Linked DNA regions of Medicago truncatula. Each later gene encodes a partner of the first gene's protein in a complex. Links are inferred from orthologs where the notes say so. Each region holds a gene or a part of one and is shown in the gene's direction. Other genes may lie near its edges. The genes, in order: acyl carrier protein 1, mitochondrial; NADH dehydrogenase [ubiquinone] 1 beta subcomplex subunit 9.

Region 1 (7,669 bases):
AAATAATTTTTTAACTGAGACATCGTTTAACCTTTTCATTTATTAAAAAAATTATACAATTCAATAATGAGAATAGCCAAGATCCTTGTATCTATACCAGCTTATAATTTCTATGGGACAGAAGAAAAAATAAAATCTAAAGCCTGCAGTCGCTAAGAATTTCAACATGGAGATTCATTGTGAGGCTTAGAAGTGCCAGCTTGTGCGCGTCTTGCCTTTAAATCATCGAGATAATTTTGATAGATGTAGGAAGCAAAACCCCATAAAGCCATAAGCATAGAAATTATCTTCACCCCATTCATCTTATCATGAAAAACTATAACAGCCGCAATAGGAGTAATAGCCAAAGACACAGTGCTGATAACATTAGAGTAGAGAGAAGACACCAAGAAAATCAAGCCAACCACACCAACAGAACAAACCTGCCATGCTATTGCTGTCCAAACCAATGTCATTAAATAAGCAACTTCTCCTTTCTGAAAACTCTTCATTTCTTCGTGCAAACTATGCCATTCACCACTCGCAAATAGGCCTATTGTGGATGCGCAAGTGGCAACAAGTGAAGTATAGATTTGCATTTCCAAAACAACAGAAAATGTTTCCTTTTTCAGAACCTTCTCAAAGGTCAATTGCATGAGGGAAAGCAAAAGAGAGTAAAGTGCAGAAGCTCCAAGTGTACAAAGGAAACCAACAACGTATTTTCCCTTCGGGATACCAGAAGGTGTGTCCGAATCTTCATTGACAGCAAGAAGTGAAGAAGATAAAGTGAGAACCACGGTCGAGTTTACAATCAAAGCAGTGAACTTTTGAGAGTTGATAAAGTATGAGAAAATTGCATTGAAAGCTAATTGAGATGCACAAATCAGTGCATAGGTAGAAGCAGAGAGGTACAAAAGTCCTTGTGAATACATCATATTGTCAGCAGCAATCATGATTCCAAGAACAAAATATATCAAAGCGATGAGTTTGATGGAAGGAGGAACATAAGAAGCTGAAACCTCTGAAGAAGAAGAAGGAATTGTGAATAACGGAATGAGCAAGACTGGGAAGGCAATAGTTTGGACTAAAGTAGCCATCCATGTACTATTTCCACCTTGATCATAGTAAAACCTTCCAAGGATAACTGCAGCAGATTGTCCAACGATGAGAAACATTATGCTGAGTCCCACCAGAAACCACCATTGCCATCGCTTGTATTTGTTAAACGGTAGTTCATTAATTGTTCCGGCTATGATCATCGGTTCTTCATTATCTGTAATCGAAAGCAACATTAAGTCACTTGTTTTTAAATGTAACCGCAGAAACATCAAGTAAACGTAAAATGCAGGACAGAAAAACTAAAGTCGAAAGAGCCAATTTTGGAATTTCGGAATAACAAGTTTGTGAATTGAGTAAGTTAAACTTAGTTTATCCATCTCAATTATAGATACTTTAACCGATAAGATCTCATGAGCTTAAAGCTAATTGAAATTGGAACTTAAATTCATGCAAAAGTACAGCAGCAACAGTAAAATCATACATAAATTAGCAGTTAACAGCTATATATATATATATATATAAATATAAATGTTCACTGAGAGAATCATTCATTCATATTAGACGTATATGATGGAAGGGTAAAAACAGAGTTAACCCAGTTTCCATGCAGTAAATCCAAAATTTGATCCTGATCAGTTCTCCAATAACAAATCAATGAGTTCAACTTGGTCCTTGCAAAGGGTAAGTATTGAACTATGTTGATGTAAAAGAAAGTGAAACCTAGCAGAAGAATAATATTGGCGTGACATATAATCAGAACTAAAACGAAAAACACGAATTAATGAAATAAACATAAGCGATTCCCTTAATAATGAATGAATTAAAGCATCCAAACAAGGAGAAAGAGAGAGAGAGGTATATATACCTGTCATGGTGGATTGGGTTTGAAGTTGAAAGAGTTTCAGAAGTGAAAAAAAGGTTTAGAGAAGAATAGTGAAGAAGAGAGGGTTAGAAGAATGTCGCTGTTGGTGACGAAAAAAAGGTTAAAAAGGAAAGAATAGGATTCAATTGTCAAATTGTGAGTGACGGCTTCGGGGGGTGAATGAAGCCAAATTGATGGCAGTTGATGACCATTACTTTACGGGCTCAGAATGGTAAAACACGTGTGCCTTCTGTTATTCTACGATTCGGGAAACAACTCTCAACAAGGAAATTAATAACATGCTGATATAAATTCAAGATTAAATATGGTTTTATTCCGTAAAAATGTTCATTTCTTTTATGGTAATAATAGTTAATTAAAGATTGACTTTCAGCAATAAAAATTAATTAAAGGTTGAATATGGTTCAATTCCACTTCAATTTTGTTTTCTCCTTTGGTCAAGTAGCTAGTGGCTAGACTCACGCACATTATGTGTGGAGAAGTGACATCTTCAGGGTTCAAACCCCGCCCCTGCACAAATTATTCCTGATAGTTACCAACTGAGTTATACTTATGGGACCACTTCAATTTTTGTTTGGGTACAAATTCCACTTCAAATTTACTTGTTTTTTATTTATAAGTTTTTTATAATTTTTTATTAATAATTAATCTAAATTGGACGAGATACACCTCCATACAATGTTAAAGGAACGGTCAACCACACTTTTCTCTTTGTGTGATTTAGGCACAATAAATGATTCAATCGTATATTTATGTTGAAATACAATGATTCAAGCTCAAGTTGCACTTTATTATCTTGTATGTGATACACTTGTCTTATTGCATGAGATGACACCTAAAGTTATTTCATGACATGTATTAGTTTATTGCTTGAATAACAATTGGCTTATTGTACATGTAAATCTCTTAACGGTTAACGGTTAACGGTTAATTTATTGCATATAATTTTCTTAACTCTCCTTCTCATATCAATAGGAGTTTATAATGTACTTTGTTCATCATTGAAAAGGTAAAATCATAGTGTGTATGAGTGTTTTCTTATGACAAAGTGTCTCACTTTTTCCTTCCTAGTTATGAATCATCTTGGCATCAAACTAGAGCAGCTTTTGAGTAAGGAAGAGTTAAACTCAAAACATTGACATCATGTTCAAGAGGTCCAAAAACCTACAATGTGGAATTTCCCAGCCAGATCCAACTACCCGCGTTTCCACCCGCCTAGCAAAGGAAGAAGTCGAGTGAAGTTAATGTGTCACATCATCTTGTTAGCCTAACCAAACACCACTATAGCAGGCAATCATATCCTACTACATGTCATCAAAAACACAACACCTCAACTCACAAGGTCATGTCATTATCCCCTGACGTGCTAACCACTTGATTCAATAATGGAATTATTTCTTTTGTTTCCATTCATAACAAAAATCTAATCATTTGACTCATGACATTTTTCTTTTATACAAGCAGCAAAACTGATGACGACATTCAAGAAGCTCAAAGACAATAAAAGAGTGTGATTACTATAAGGAAAGCTAAGAGACTCCAAACAGAGATAGATGGACAAATTATTCCAAATATTGTTTGTTTCTGATTGGAATTCTTAATGGAAGTGTAATAAAATTCTTAAAACGTAGCTTTTTTATATTTTAGTTGTCGACGATTTATTCTCTTTAAACATAGCCTTTATGGTCACTAGTTTTTGAGGACAACAGAATTTACAAATTCATACTTGTGTGTGAGGTAGAAAATATCCTCCAAGGTTTTTGGTTAAACCATTGTGGATCTTATCAAGGAGATTTTCAAATCTCTTGTGGCGGTTCTCATTTTGGTCTTATCTTCGTAGAGATCATACATCTATGTCGTCATCTAGTCTAATCTATTTTTTGTAAGTTTTCAATTTCTTTCTTGGTTCTTTATGTGTGTTTCTATGATAGGTCTTTAAAAAATTGCTTGAAAAAATGAATTCAATCTTGCAAATGTCATTTATCTTTGAACCCTCCATCGTAGGTTCACATCAATTGGTATGAGAGTTTCAATCAAATAATAATTTATTACACCTAACAAATTTTTTTAAAAAAATTGTACCTAACAACATCATTGAAATTGATCGAGTCTTTGATGTCTTCAATATAAGAATGTCTCGTACGTGAAACTTTTCTCTTAAACACAAAAGAGAACGGCGATACTCTACTAATATTTACCTCAACTCTCAAATAAATATCTTATAGCACTTAAGCAAGTATGTCTATGCAATATATATAGTAGGGGATTTATGTGCAACATCTCAAGGAGAAATTTATTGGTAGGAAAGTCTCAAGCATATTCAAGGTCAATCCAATACATTTACATATCAAAAACGAACATTAAAATGAGATATTTTATGTAAGAAAAAATAACAAAAATAAAAAAACAATAATAATCAATAGAAAAAAAAGGTCACTTACATATACAATAAAATGTCCCTTAAAAACATATTCAATAAAATGAAGGTTCGAATCCCGGCCTTGCATATAATAATGCAGTATCATACCAATTGAGCTATGCTTACGGGACTCAATAAAATGTTTTTAATTAAAGATATAAAAATGGTTTTAAAAATTATTGTTAATTATTTTGTATTTGAGGGAGGTAATGAGCAGAATATGGGGTGTAACTAGAATATTTTGTTCCCTTTTTCTATAGTGCGTGTGACAAGTTCCTCTAACACTCACTCGTTCACGAAGAGAAGAAACAGAGAGATCAAGAGAGAGAGAGAGAGAGAGAGAGAGAGAGAGAGAGAGAGAAATGGCACTGAGAGCAGCTATACTCCGCCATGTTCGTATTCCAATCCAATCCACTCCAAAATTACAACCATGGAATGGTTCCATTCGATCCATGTCTTCACACGACGATCATATCACCAAAGAAGAAGTCGTCGAGCGAGTCCTCTCTGTCATCAAAGATTTCCCCAAAGTTGATCCTTCAAAGGTTTCTTCTTTTCCTATTTTCCCCTTCATTTTGCATAATTTTTAGTCTTTATTACTGTAAGATAGGGGGAAAAAAACTGAGAAATGAGTATGCATAATTGTTATTCTGTTGATTTGTCCAAATGGGTTTCCCCCAAAATTTGGAATTGAGAAAAATGTGTAATAGGTAACCTAAATCACTATTATGTTGATTTATTCAAAAGGTTTTTTTGCTAAAGTTTGGAAATTTACCTTAATAATTACCTGGGTGGTGTTTGTAATAATGTTAAAAGGCTAAAAGATGTGCAATGTGTGTCCCAAGTTGTTATTATGTTGATTTAGCCCAAATTTGAAAGGTTTGCTCATTAACCATCTTAGAAGTGTTTGTTGTCTTAATTTGTGTGGAAAATTAGAAATGGGTTTTTCCGAATGGGTTGCTCCGAAAGTTTTAGATTTAGGGCCTGTTTGGATCAGCTTATTTGTTGATTTGAGGCCTGTTTGAATTGAGTTATTTGAGCTTATCTACTGACATAAGCCAATGTGAGACTGTTTGAGAGAACTTATGAAAACAATCTATAACATGTCCATTAGCACGTATATCTTATATGATAGCATTTTGACTTTATTTTCTAGCACTGTGATAAACGTAAACATTTATATGATAAACACTTGATTAAGTTGTTTATTCAAATAAGGCCTTACTCACCATGTGGGAAGTGTCTGCTTGGTTATGCGGGGATTTGTTTGAAGATTTAATGAGAGATATTATGTGCAAGAGAAAACTACGTTGCAGTTCTCAGTTGATAATAATAATATATTATTCAACTGAGATGCATTTTGTAGGAAAAACTACATGGCTCTTTGGCTAAATAAACCATTTTCTTCAATGTTTTTTTTTCTTTCTAAATGGGCATTATCATTGTGGAGTGTGAGAAGGGTTAGATGTCTGCAGTCTTACCTTAATAACTCCTACTGGTTTTCTACATGGCATTTTTAAAAAAATAATTTTATTCATACAATTTGCTTGTATGTTTGGACTTTATAATGCTGTAGTTATATTTATTTTTTCAAAATATTGAAGTTTAAATGGATTCTCTCATATTTTAGTAATGCGTAATTTCTGACAGTTTGAATAAAATCTTTTGAATACCCCTCATCTGAATGTTTATATTCAATACAGTCCTGTGCAAAATATTTAAATTGGAAAATAAGACTACATTTGATAAACTCTACTTTCATGAAGGCATTCCAGATTTGACATGCAAAGGAGTTAGGGACTGGAAGACATTCCCCTTGCTTTGATTCACTTTTCTCCTTTTCCTCTTTGATCTTGGCTTGTTTTTATCCTTGTACTATATAGTAACTCTCTCTCTCCTCTCCTCCTTAAAAAAGTGTTGTTTTCATTAATAAAATTTCAAGTTCCGAATAAAAAAACTCCTAAACAGTGTTGTTTTCATTAAAAAAATTGTGCAATCATAACCCATTTCCTAGACACACACACACTGGTTAAAAAAAAAACACTTGATTAATCTTGTCAAAATTCCAGTGTTGTGAAATATCACCGATGGCGAATTTTTGACAACCGCCACGGCCAATTTGTGAAAGATGGCGGTGCCATGGTGTTCTATGGTGGATTTGAGCTGTGGACTTCAAACTCTTCTGTATTATGCATAAGGAGGAGGCTGATACACACAACACTTTATGGCCTAGTTTTCTACTTTTTTTCCTTTGGGTGGGGTGAAGGGGGCGGGGGTTTAATCTTCAATATGGCTTTTGTTCCCAAAGTAATATTTGAACTTATCTTTGAGACTTTCATTATTCCATTTATTTAAGTTGAAGCAACACTGATATAAATACACTATTTGTTCATAGTAGAAGGTTTCATCATGTTATTAACAAGTTTAAACCAGAATATGTAATATGTTAAATTCCCAAACATAGATAATTAGGGTATCCTGGTTTCAAAAGAACATTTTTGTTTTGCATTTCTTCTTGTTTTCTATTTTAATTACAAAAACAACTTTACTTTCACCTCGTTTCTTGTGTAGGAAGCAGAAAAAACAATTGAATGTTTTTGTGTTTATTTCCTGTGTTTCACTTTTAATTACAAAAATACCTCAGTTGTTTCTTGCTTTTAAGGATTTGTCTTGGAAACCAGGAAAATAACTATTTTTTGTTTCTGTTGTTTCCTTCATATATATTTGAAAATGGGAGACAAAGGGAAAACAATGTTTGTGTTTTTATAATCAAAAGTGAAACATGTAATGAGAACGGATAACATTTTCTCAAATTAAATAGACAGTCAGTTTTCTCCCACAACTCTTGCTCAGCTATTGATAGATTGATTTCCTCCATAATCAGAAACTTCAGAGCTAGATATTTTAAGTATATGTAGAAACTGGCATAGCTCCCAGGGGATTCATTTATTTGGAATCTAACAGAAACCAAATTACAAATAGGTAGCAGCAGCAGCACAATGTGTGCATCTGCCAGTACCAAATGATTTAAGACAATTGTAAATTTAAAAGGCTCTATTTTGTTCACTTGATGCCTTACTTTAGGATTCTCCGTCTTTTGAAATATTTATATAGACACTTTGTTTTTCGGATTTCACACATGACTTTATATTGTTTGTTTCACATTCTACAATGTATTCAAGTTCACTTCGCAAGCTGATGAGCCAACAGTGTTTACTAGTATTTGTTTAGAATACCTATTATCGTATTCATTCTTAATTCACAGTTGCCCAATATTTAGGAGCTCACAGTTATACACAATAAGAACAACAGAGTCCTCCTCCACTGCA
Region 2 (7,548 bases), on another chromosome or scaffold:
TACACGAAGATCATTACAAGCAAAATCAAATTAGTAAAAGCAAAATATTGAGCCAAGTTACCACTAAAAAAAGGCTCTAAATATTTAGCCAAGTCCTTTGCATGCCATTAGTAATTTCATACGTCAGATGTAAAGCTTACTCGAGTAAATAACCAATCGTTACAAAACAAAATAAAATTCATTCAAAACATAACAAATAATTTCAAAAATTTCAAAAAAGAATGATCAAGTTTTCAGGATTTCCTAGACGGAAATCTTTGAATGTATTTTTTGCAATCAAATATGATACATTGTATTTGAAGTTTTCAAGATCGGCAAAACGTTGTATTTAAACCAATTACTACAAATCTGCAAAATTCACTGGCACAAAAAAGACGACGATTTTGAACATGATGAAGATCTTAACAAGACGAAATGATGAAATTCTGGACATGAAAGTCCGATTTGATTCTTTGCACCACCCTAAAAACTTAGAATGTGTTTCCTAGTAGGTTTTCACTGTAGGGTGAACCGACAACTATTGAAGAAAAAAAAATTGGTGTTTTAACTTTCAAACTAGACCACCCGTGCGATCGCACGGGTCATCTCGATTGGAAACAAAACATGCAAATATATTGAAATTAAATATGCTTGCGGTACAAAATATATTGTTTCTAAAAAAAATACATTAAAAAAGGACCTTAAATCGGTAGATTGCATAAAATCTCCTTATAACTACATTTGAAGTGCTATTCATGCCGTTAATATTATCATCAGTCATTAAAATCTTCAACCCATTCCTTGAGGTCACCTTGGATATTGCGACGTAAAGTTGACCTCGTATGTAGTGTACGTTGTGTATACAATTATATTTCAAGGAATTTATGTGTATACAATGCGTTTTTTTTTTTTTTTTGAAAACTATCAATGCAAGCGTCATCCTCATATGTTAGCAGAATTTTTAGACCACTCTTTGAACTAATTTCAAACACTAAGAGAGATGAGCAAAAATAATATAGAACAATCCAACCCTTAAATTATTTTATGAGCCACTTTCTATTCATTAACAAGCACTAAGATTAGCTACGTGGAGTGAAATGACACATTATACACAAAACAAATCTTAAAAAACCTGCTATTATACAAACAAACCCAAACAAACATTATTGATTATTGAAATGGATAGTCTGCATAAATTAATTTTGACATTATCCTATTGAAATGGGTGGTCTGCATAACTATTGTTCTATACACAAAATAAATTAATTTTGACCTAAACCAGTAAACTGAAGAGTTATCTTGCAAAAATTATGGACAAAATAATTAACCTTAGTTGATTCAATCAAATCTGATAGTTGTGGAAAATCATCAGAGAGGGACTGTAATCGGACCAGTAAAAAGAATTAGAAACTTCAGGCAAATCATTAGTTAATTTTTAGTTATTGTAAAAGTTGCACCCTATAACTTTTTATAAATCGCGGCGGCACACCGTGATTTCGATAAAGTAAGTCATCACGGAAACTCAAAATAAGCTTCAATAGTGAATATACACATCTAAGTATAACCTTGTGAAATAAGCCCCTTATATTTGCAGTCAAAGAAAACTACCTTAAAACTCAATTTAAATTACTTGCAATTTGAAATAATTCGAATATGAAAAACATTATACATGTAGAGCACCCTCACGCAGCCAACACAGAGGCACCACACAGCCTGCTGTCCCTCGAGAGCACACCACAAAAAACATAAACCACCTCGACAAAGTCCACCAAAACTATCACTATTTTCTCAAAGGATAATCTTTATCAATTTATGTAAAGTTTATTTATTTATTTGCATTAAAAAGGACACCAGTGAGCTATAAACAACGTCAGGATCCTATAAAACACAAACCAAACACATACGTCTTCCCCTTGATTACGGAAAGCAAACAAAAGAAAAAGGCTAGGCACAAAACAAAAGAGCTGCAGCCCCTAAAACACCAACATCACAACGGTTCCTAGTGACAGAACCAAAAACCTGCTATCTAAAATAGCAGCAGCCTCACGCAGCCAACAAAGATGCACTACACAGCCTGCTGCCCCTCAAGAACACACCACAAAAAACAGAAACCACCTCGACAAAGTATACCAAAAATATCACTATTTTCTCAAAAGACAATCTTCATCAATTTATGTAAAGTTTATTTATTTGCACACTATTTTATCATAACATTGACAATACTTGTTATGCAAATTTACATCTAATGAAACTATATTTCATATTAGTTATTCACACCCATTATCGTGATGATAGTGGCTCATGGCTCATGATGTCAAGATACTCATGGAGTAGGAATAATAGGATACAGATAAACATGAGTGGCAGTTTTTCAATGGAAAATTTCATAGCAAGAACAAACTTTGGATTAAATTCTTTAAAGCTTATCACAACATGTATAGGTAGTTTAATACAAAAAGTTAATGAGAGAGGAGAAAAGCAGCGAATGAGAGAGAAGATTGTTGATGAAAAGAAAAACCTTCCGCGACAGTGCCGATTCACTGAGAACTCCACCTTCTTCAAGCTCCTTTCCTATCAAATCGGAAAAATCAATCAAAACAACACCGGTGATACCAAAACCCAAATCGTGAAATCAAAATCAATCAAAACGTAACGAAACTGAAAACGCATACCGAGGGATCGAAGGTCTTGAAAATTTTATTGCATAGAAGCATTCTCTTTCAATAAAACTTGAAGATGCTTATTGCCTTGGTGAGGTTGACCGGCGATGAAGAGAACACCCAAACTAAGACACGAAGAGCTACGCGAGAAACAATGAGAGAGAGAGATGGAGAATTGAAGAAGAATGTCAGAAAATGAAGAAAAAAATAACGTGGGAGAAGAGAAGAGGCTTTTTTTTTAGAGAGAAAACTTGAGTGAGAGAGAAGAGAAGAGGGACTGAAAATCGCTGACTTTTTCTGATTAGAGAAAAATGGGTGTGAGAGGGGAGTGAGAGAGAGGGAGAAAGAGCAAAATGCAAGGAAATAGGTTTGTTTGGTTCATATGCCTTTGCATTGAGAAGTGGGTAACTGCATGCCTTGGAAAGAAGCGAGCACAATTGCAAGTGGTGGGATATTTGAATTTCAAAATCTGCATTAATTAGGCACATATGCACACATTTCAAAAGGGTACATGATTTGAAATTCAAAAATGCCATTAAATGTGGTTAAATCACAATTTTCCCGCTCAAAGCCAAGGATTAGGGTTTTGCAATTGTTGTGTGCATTGTAGTTTAGGATTAGATAATAAGGATAACTAACTTTCCACCCGTGCTACCGCACGGGTCATATACATTGTAGATGTAGTAGACAAAAACAAATCTCAATGCATATCAAAGAGAATGAAATATGTGGTTCCAAATATATGCAGATGTTTGAATTCGAACCTCAGACACCACACTTATTCACCTTAAAAATATTAATTTTTATTTTTATCAATCGTGTGTTACTTCACTCTTTTGTTAAAATTATATGTCAATGTTATATTATTGGTATGTTACTTCATCTTTTTTTTTTTTTTTGACAGAATGTTACTTCATTCTTTTGTAAAAATTATATGTTAATGTTATATTATGTACCTAAAAATAGCTCATTCTAAACCTCAACATGTAAAATGTTTTATTTAAATAATTTTCCTTTTATCGAATATTTGGCCTTTACCGTAAATGATACGCTTTAACTGTTTGTTGAAATGTTTCTTCCACCTGTTTATATAGATTGCAAAATTCAGGTGCATTTTATGGTAGATATTTAACAAAGAGAGTTCAGTTCTAATTTGGATGAAAAGTGTAATATTAACAAAAAAAATATTGCTATAATCTTTCAAAATCCTTTTATTCCAATAGGGCGATTTGTTTTAGTGAAGAAATAGGGCGATTTGTTTTGAAGAAATGGGAGAAATAAAGCGATGCTGATTTGCTTTGTTCATGAAAATAGGAGATTAGGTGTGAGCATTAGGGTTGTTCATGAAAATAGGAGATTAGGTGTGAGCATTAGGGTTAAAACAGTTAAATTATGCAATAGGGTTTAGGTTAAAATTAGGGCTTACGGGTTAACTTTAATATATACGAAGATAAGAAGATTAGGTGAGAGCATTAGGGTTGTTCATGAAAATAGGAGATTAGGTGTGAGCATTAGGATTAAAACAGTAAAATTATGCAATAGGGTTTAAGTTAAAATTAGGGCTTGCGGGTTAACTTTAATATATAAAGATAAGATGTACTTGGTTGGGATAAGTATAGATGTAGGGTTACAACGTAAAATTTCGAGTAAATAGGGAAGGATTAAAAAGCAATGAATCGGGCCTGGATAAGTAAAAGTAGCCCAAAAGCCCAACGATGATACGACGCCGTGGTTCTCTCTCTGGTTGTTGTAATTGTAATGAAAAGTGAAAAAGGAAAAAAGGGAAGAGATTGAGAAAAGAGAAATGAGCTTAACATCGACGGTAGCTTACGTTGCTCGGCGCGCGGCGCAGAGGGAGAAGGTTCGGATTCTGTATCGCCGTGCTCTTAAAGACACTCTCAACTGGGCTGTACATCGTCACCTCTTCTACGACGACGTATTCCCTTTCCTCCCTTTCTCGTTCTTTCATTTCACCCAATTTCATTCAATTCATAACATTTTCTCTCATTCCTTCCATTTTCAGGCTTCAAACCTCCGCGATAGGTTCGAGCAAAACAAACACGTGGTTCGTTGTTTTCCCAATTTCAGATCATCATCATCGCATCTTGCAATTACACTTTCACTCACCCTAATTTAATTTTGTGATTGTAATAATTTACAGGAAGATCTTGATACGATTGATAGGTTGATAGCGGATGCTGAAGCTAGCTACAATAAGTGGCGCCATCCCGATCCTTATATAGGTAAAACAACAACAAATCATATACTTAGTGTTTGGTATTAATTTGATTTTCATTATCCCTAGTATAGCAGGAATGATAAGTAATGACACATGGTTGCAAATCATCTGAATATTATTTTACTTAGTGCTATAGGAGTTGAGGGGACTGTCATAATAAGATTATATCAAATGTTCACTAGTATATAACTTACAAACAGAGCTATTAGTTTGAAGCATTTCATTTACCTCGGCTACAATCTGCCTTCCTTTGTGGCATAGGCACACTGACTATGTATTGGCCTTTTTTTTTTTAATTTTTTTTTATTTTATTTTTTTATATTTTTCTAGTCTTGAGGGTTGATTTTTCTCCTTTGCTTTACAATCTTAGTAAAATTTTACTCGTTACACCATCTCTTTCCTGCTTTGTTATTTAATCCAGTTCTAATACTGGCTTGTTCTTATTTCTGCTGTATTATAGTTCCATGGGCTCCTGGTGGTTCCAAGTTTACTCGCAACCCAGCTCCACCTCAAGGGGTAAGTCATTATGGTTATATGCTTTCTTTATTTTTTTCCTTTTTATTTGGCCCACTTAGTTCATACTTATATCATATTCATACATAGACATGTATATGTGTGTGTTTGTGTTTGTGGAGTTTAGGACAAGTTCTTTGGATAAGAGAGATATACACAATGTCCTCTGCAAGACGCTAACACCTGCATATGTTACCACGTTTTTCCCTTGCCAAGACTATTGTGATGATATATCTCATCCAATGACCCTATCATGTGAGAGTATCACATAAAATGGTCGAAATATTTGCTTTTCTTGTGTACTTTAAAGTCTCTTTAGAAATGCACCAAACTTTTCTGTGATTGTTTAGTTAAGTGACTAACCTAATTTCCATATAGCCAGGAATAAGTGTGCTCCATTCCCCTTTGAAATTATACATTAAACATGCGTATTAGAAGTTAGAATAATGATCCCCTTAATTTTCTCTCTCTAATGATCCCAATTAGAGGATAATAAATCAATATTATTAATTTTTGAACAAACAATGTTATGTTTGAAACAGTAAAACTAAGGTCTCAAGGTGTCATAATCATCTAACAATGAAAACGAAGAAGGCTATGAAATTGATGAGATTGTAGTTATAAGAAGGGATCTGATAAGGGAGAGACTACCTTGTAAATAAAAAGTGGGTGGGGAAGTTTGCTGGAGGGAAACAGAGAACCAATTTGTTATAGAGGGTTGTTCAGAAGGAGAGAAGGCGTCATGTGTTTCCATTTCAGTTTCAACTTATAGCCAGGGCCCATGGAGTTTACCTATTTGTTCTTACTTTCAATATTTTCTTCTCAATAATACACGGGATTTCACATGACACATCACAATTCAGAAAAATGGTCTTATAAAGATGACACATTAAGTATGCTCAAATTAAAAAATAAAATAAATTGTGGGGACAGTTGGCCTCATTGCACTGAACGTGCATTCAGCTCTAATTTTGTCGAGAGCTTAGGAGAGGGAGAGTTTAGTGTGTAAACCCGACCGGCTTCACAACGAATTGATTCTCTAGTGCATTAGGTCAGTCAGTTGAATGTTCATTCGGCCAAACTAAGCCCCTTGATAGCAATTGTTGCGGGATCACTAAGTCCTTCTCAGACCTGCATGCTGAGGTGTGAGAGGCATTCCAACAGCAACACAAACATGCCGAGTTGTTGACCCATGCCCCTACTACTCCTTGAATAGGAATGGTGAACCAAGTTGATTTAAACCCGTTGAGCAAAAGTGGAATCCTATGCATGCGAGTCATATTGGGAAAGACACAACATATTTAGAGAGAGCTTATCATCAGGCTTTGCATTAAAAAATGCATTACAATCTAGAGGTGTCTGAATGAACCAACCTAGTGTGACCCATCATGCTTTGTATTTTTTATTTTATAAAAAATGATTTTTAAGATTAAAAAAAGGGAGAAAGTGAGGCCATCTGTATCAACCCTGCATAACTCGCTTTGGCCTACTGTTTAATGAGTTGGTTCAAATTCAAAATAACATTGGAAAATGTGAGGCATTAATTCAATCCACTGGTGAATTGGGTTGACTCACGGATTTTGGCTGACATTTAAACAAGCAAAGGAATGGTCTGGAGAGGAATGATGGAAGCCAAACTCAAGGGGTGGATGTTAGTGCTGTTGAATTTGGGTACTTTTACCGTCCTGGGGACCTTGGGGGGAAACCAAAACAGATTGCATCACGAAGTCCAAGAGCCTCAGTCAAGAGGCCTGTATTGTCATGCTCAAGGAAATTCACATGGGTAATAAGCACCACCCTACTGTCATGCAGCAGGTTTTACAAATACCAGGACTTGGCAAGGGAGGTAAACTCCAGCTATTAAAATACCTGATCCCGTAACATTACCAACTAGTCTAGAGGGCCAGCAGTCAACAAATAAACCTATTGATAACTGGCTGCTAATATCTAGTAGGCAGCTAGGAAGAGGAAGACAAGCTTCTGTGATCAGTTTTCACCCTTCTAACTTGAGGAAATTGCAGCTTTTCATGTGGATGGTATTGATGCGTTCCTTGTTATGGTTAAGGGGCCTGGTGAGGGTAGGGATTATATTGTAGATTACAAATGAGAGGAAAGTTTGTTGGCAAGAATGAGAGAACAAATTTGTTATACATTGTA

The links.
Region 2: the proteins of acyl carrier protein 1, mitochondrial (region 1) and NADH dehydrogenase [ubiquinone] 1 beta subcomplex subunit 9 are in contact, whole or in part, in a cryo-EM structure (PDB 8BEH), measured with the Arabidopsis thaliana proteins. The link is inferred for Medicago truncatula from reciprocal best matches to the Arabidopsis thaliana genes MTACP-1 and CIB22. Residues at the interface, in NP_181990.1 of Arabidopsis thaliana: Asp78, Ser79, Leu80, Asp81, Val83, Glu84, Val86, Met87, Glu90, Glu91, Lys94, Leu95, Glu96, Ile97, Asp99, Lys100, Ala102, Asp103, His118, Met120; in NP_567970.1 of Arabidopsis thaliana: Glu18, Arg21, Ile22, Tyr24, Arg25, Arg26, Leu28, Lys29, Leu32, Arg38, Phe41, Arg49, Phe52, Asn53, Tyr84, Ile85, Val86, Pro87, Trp88, Ala89.

What each region holds. Positions count from the first base shown.
Region 1 is NC_053048.1:37,507,664-37,515,332, forward strand, and holds the start of acyl carrier protein 1, mitochondrial, read left to right. Parts: upstream 1-4,611; 5' UTR 4,612-4,702; coding exon 4,703-4,885; intron 4,886-7,669. Other genes in the region: probable purine permease 11, read right to left, coding at 162-1,252, 1,904-1,910. UniProt on the Arabidopsis thaliana protein: Carrier of the growing fatty acid chain in fatty acid biosynthesis. May be involved in the synthesis of short and medium chain fatty acids.
Region 2 is NC_053044.1:58,454,978-58,462,525, forward strand, and holds the start of NADH dehydrogenase [ubiquinone] 1 beta subcomplex subunit 9, read left to right. Parts: upstream 1-4,361; 5' UTR 4,362-4,443; coding exon 4,444-4,575; intron 4,576-4,662; coding exon 4,663-4,704; intron 4,705-4,800; coding exon 4,801-4,882; intron 4,883-5,338; coding exon 5,339-5,394; intron 5,395-7,548. UniProt on the Arabidopsis thaliana protein: Accessory subunit of the mitochondrial membrane respiratory chain NADH dehydrogenase (Complex I), that is believed to be not involved in catalysis. Complex I functions in the transfer of electrons from NADH to the respiratory chain.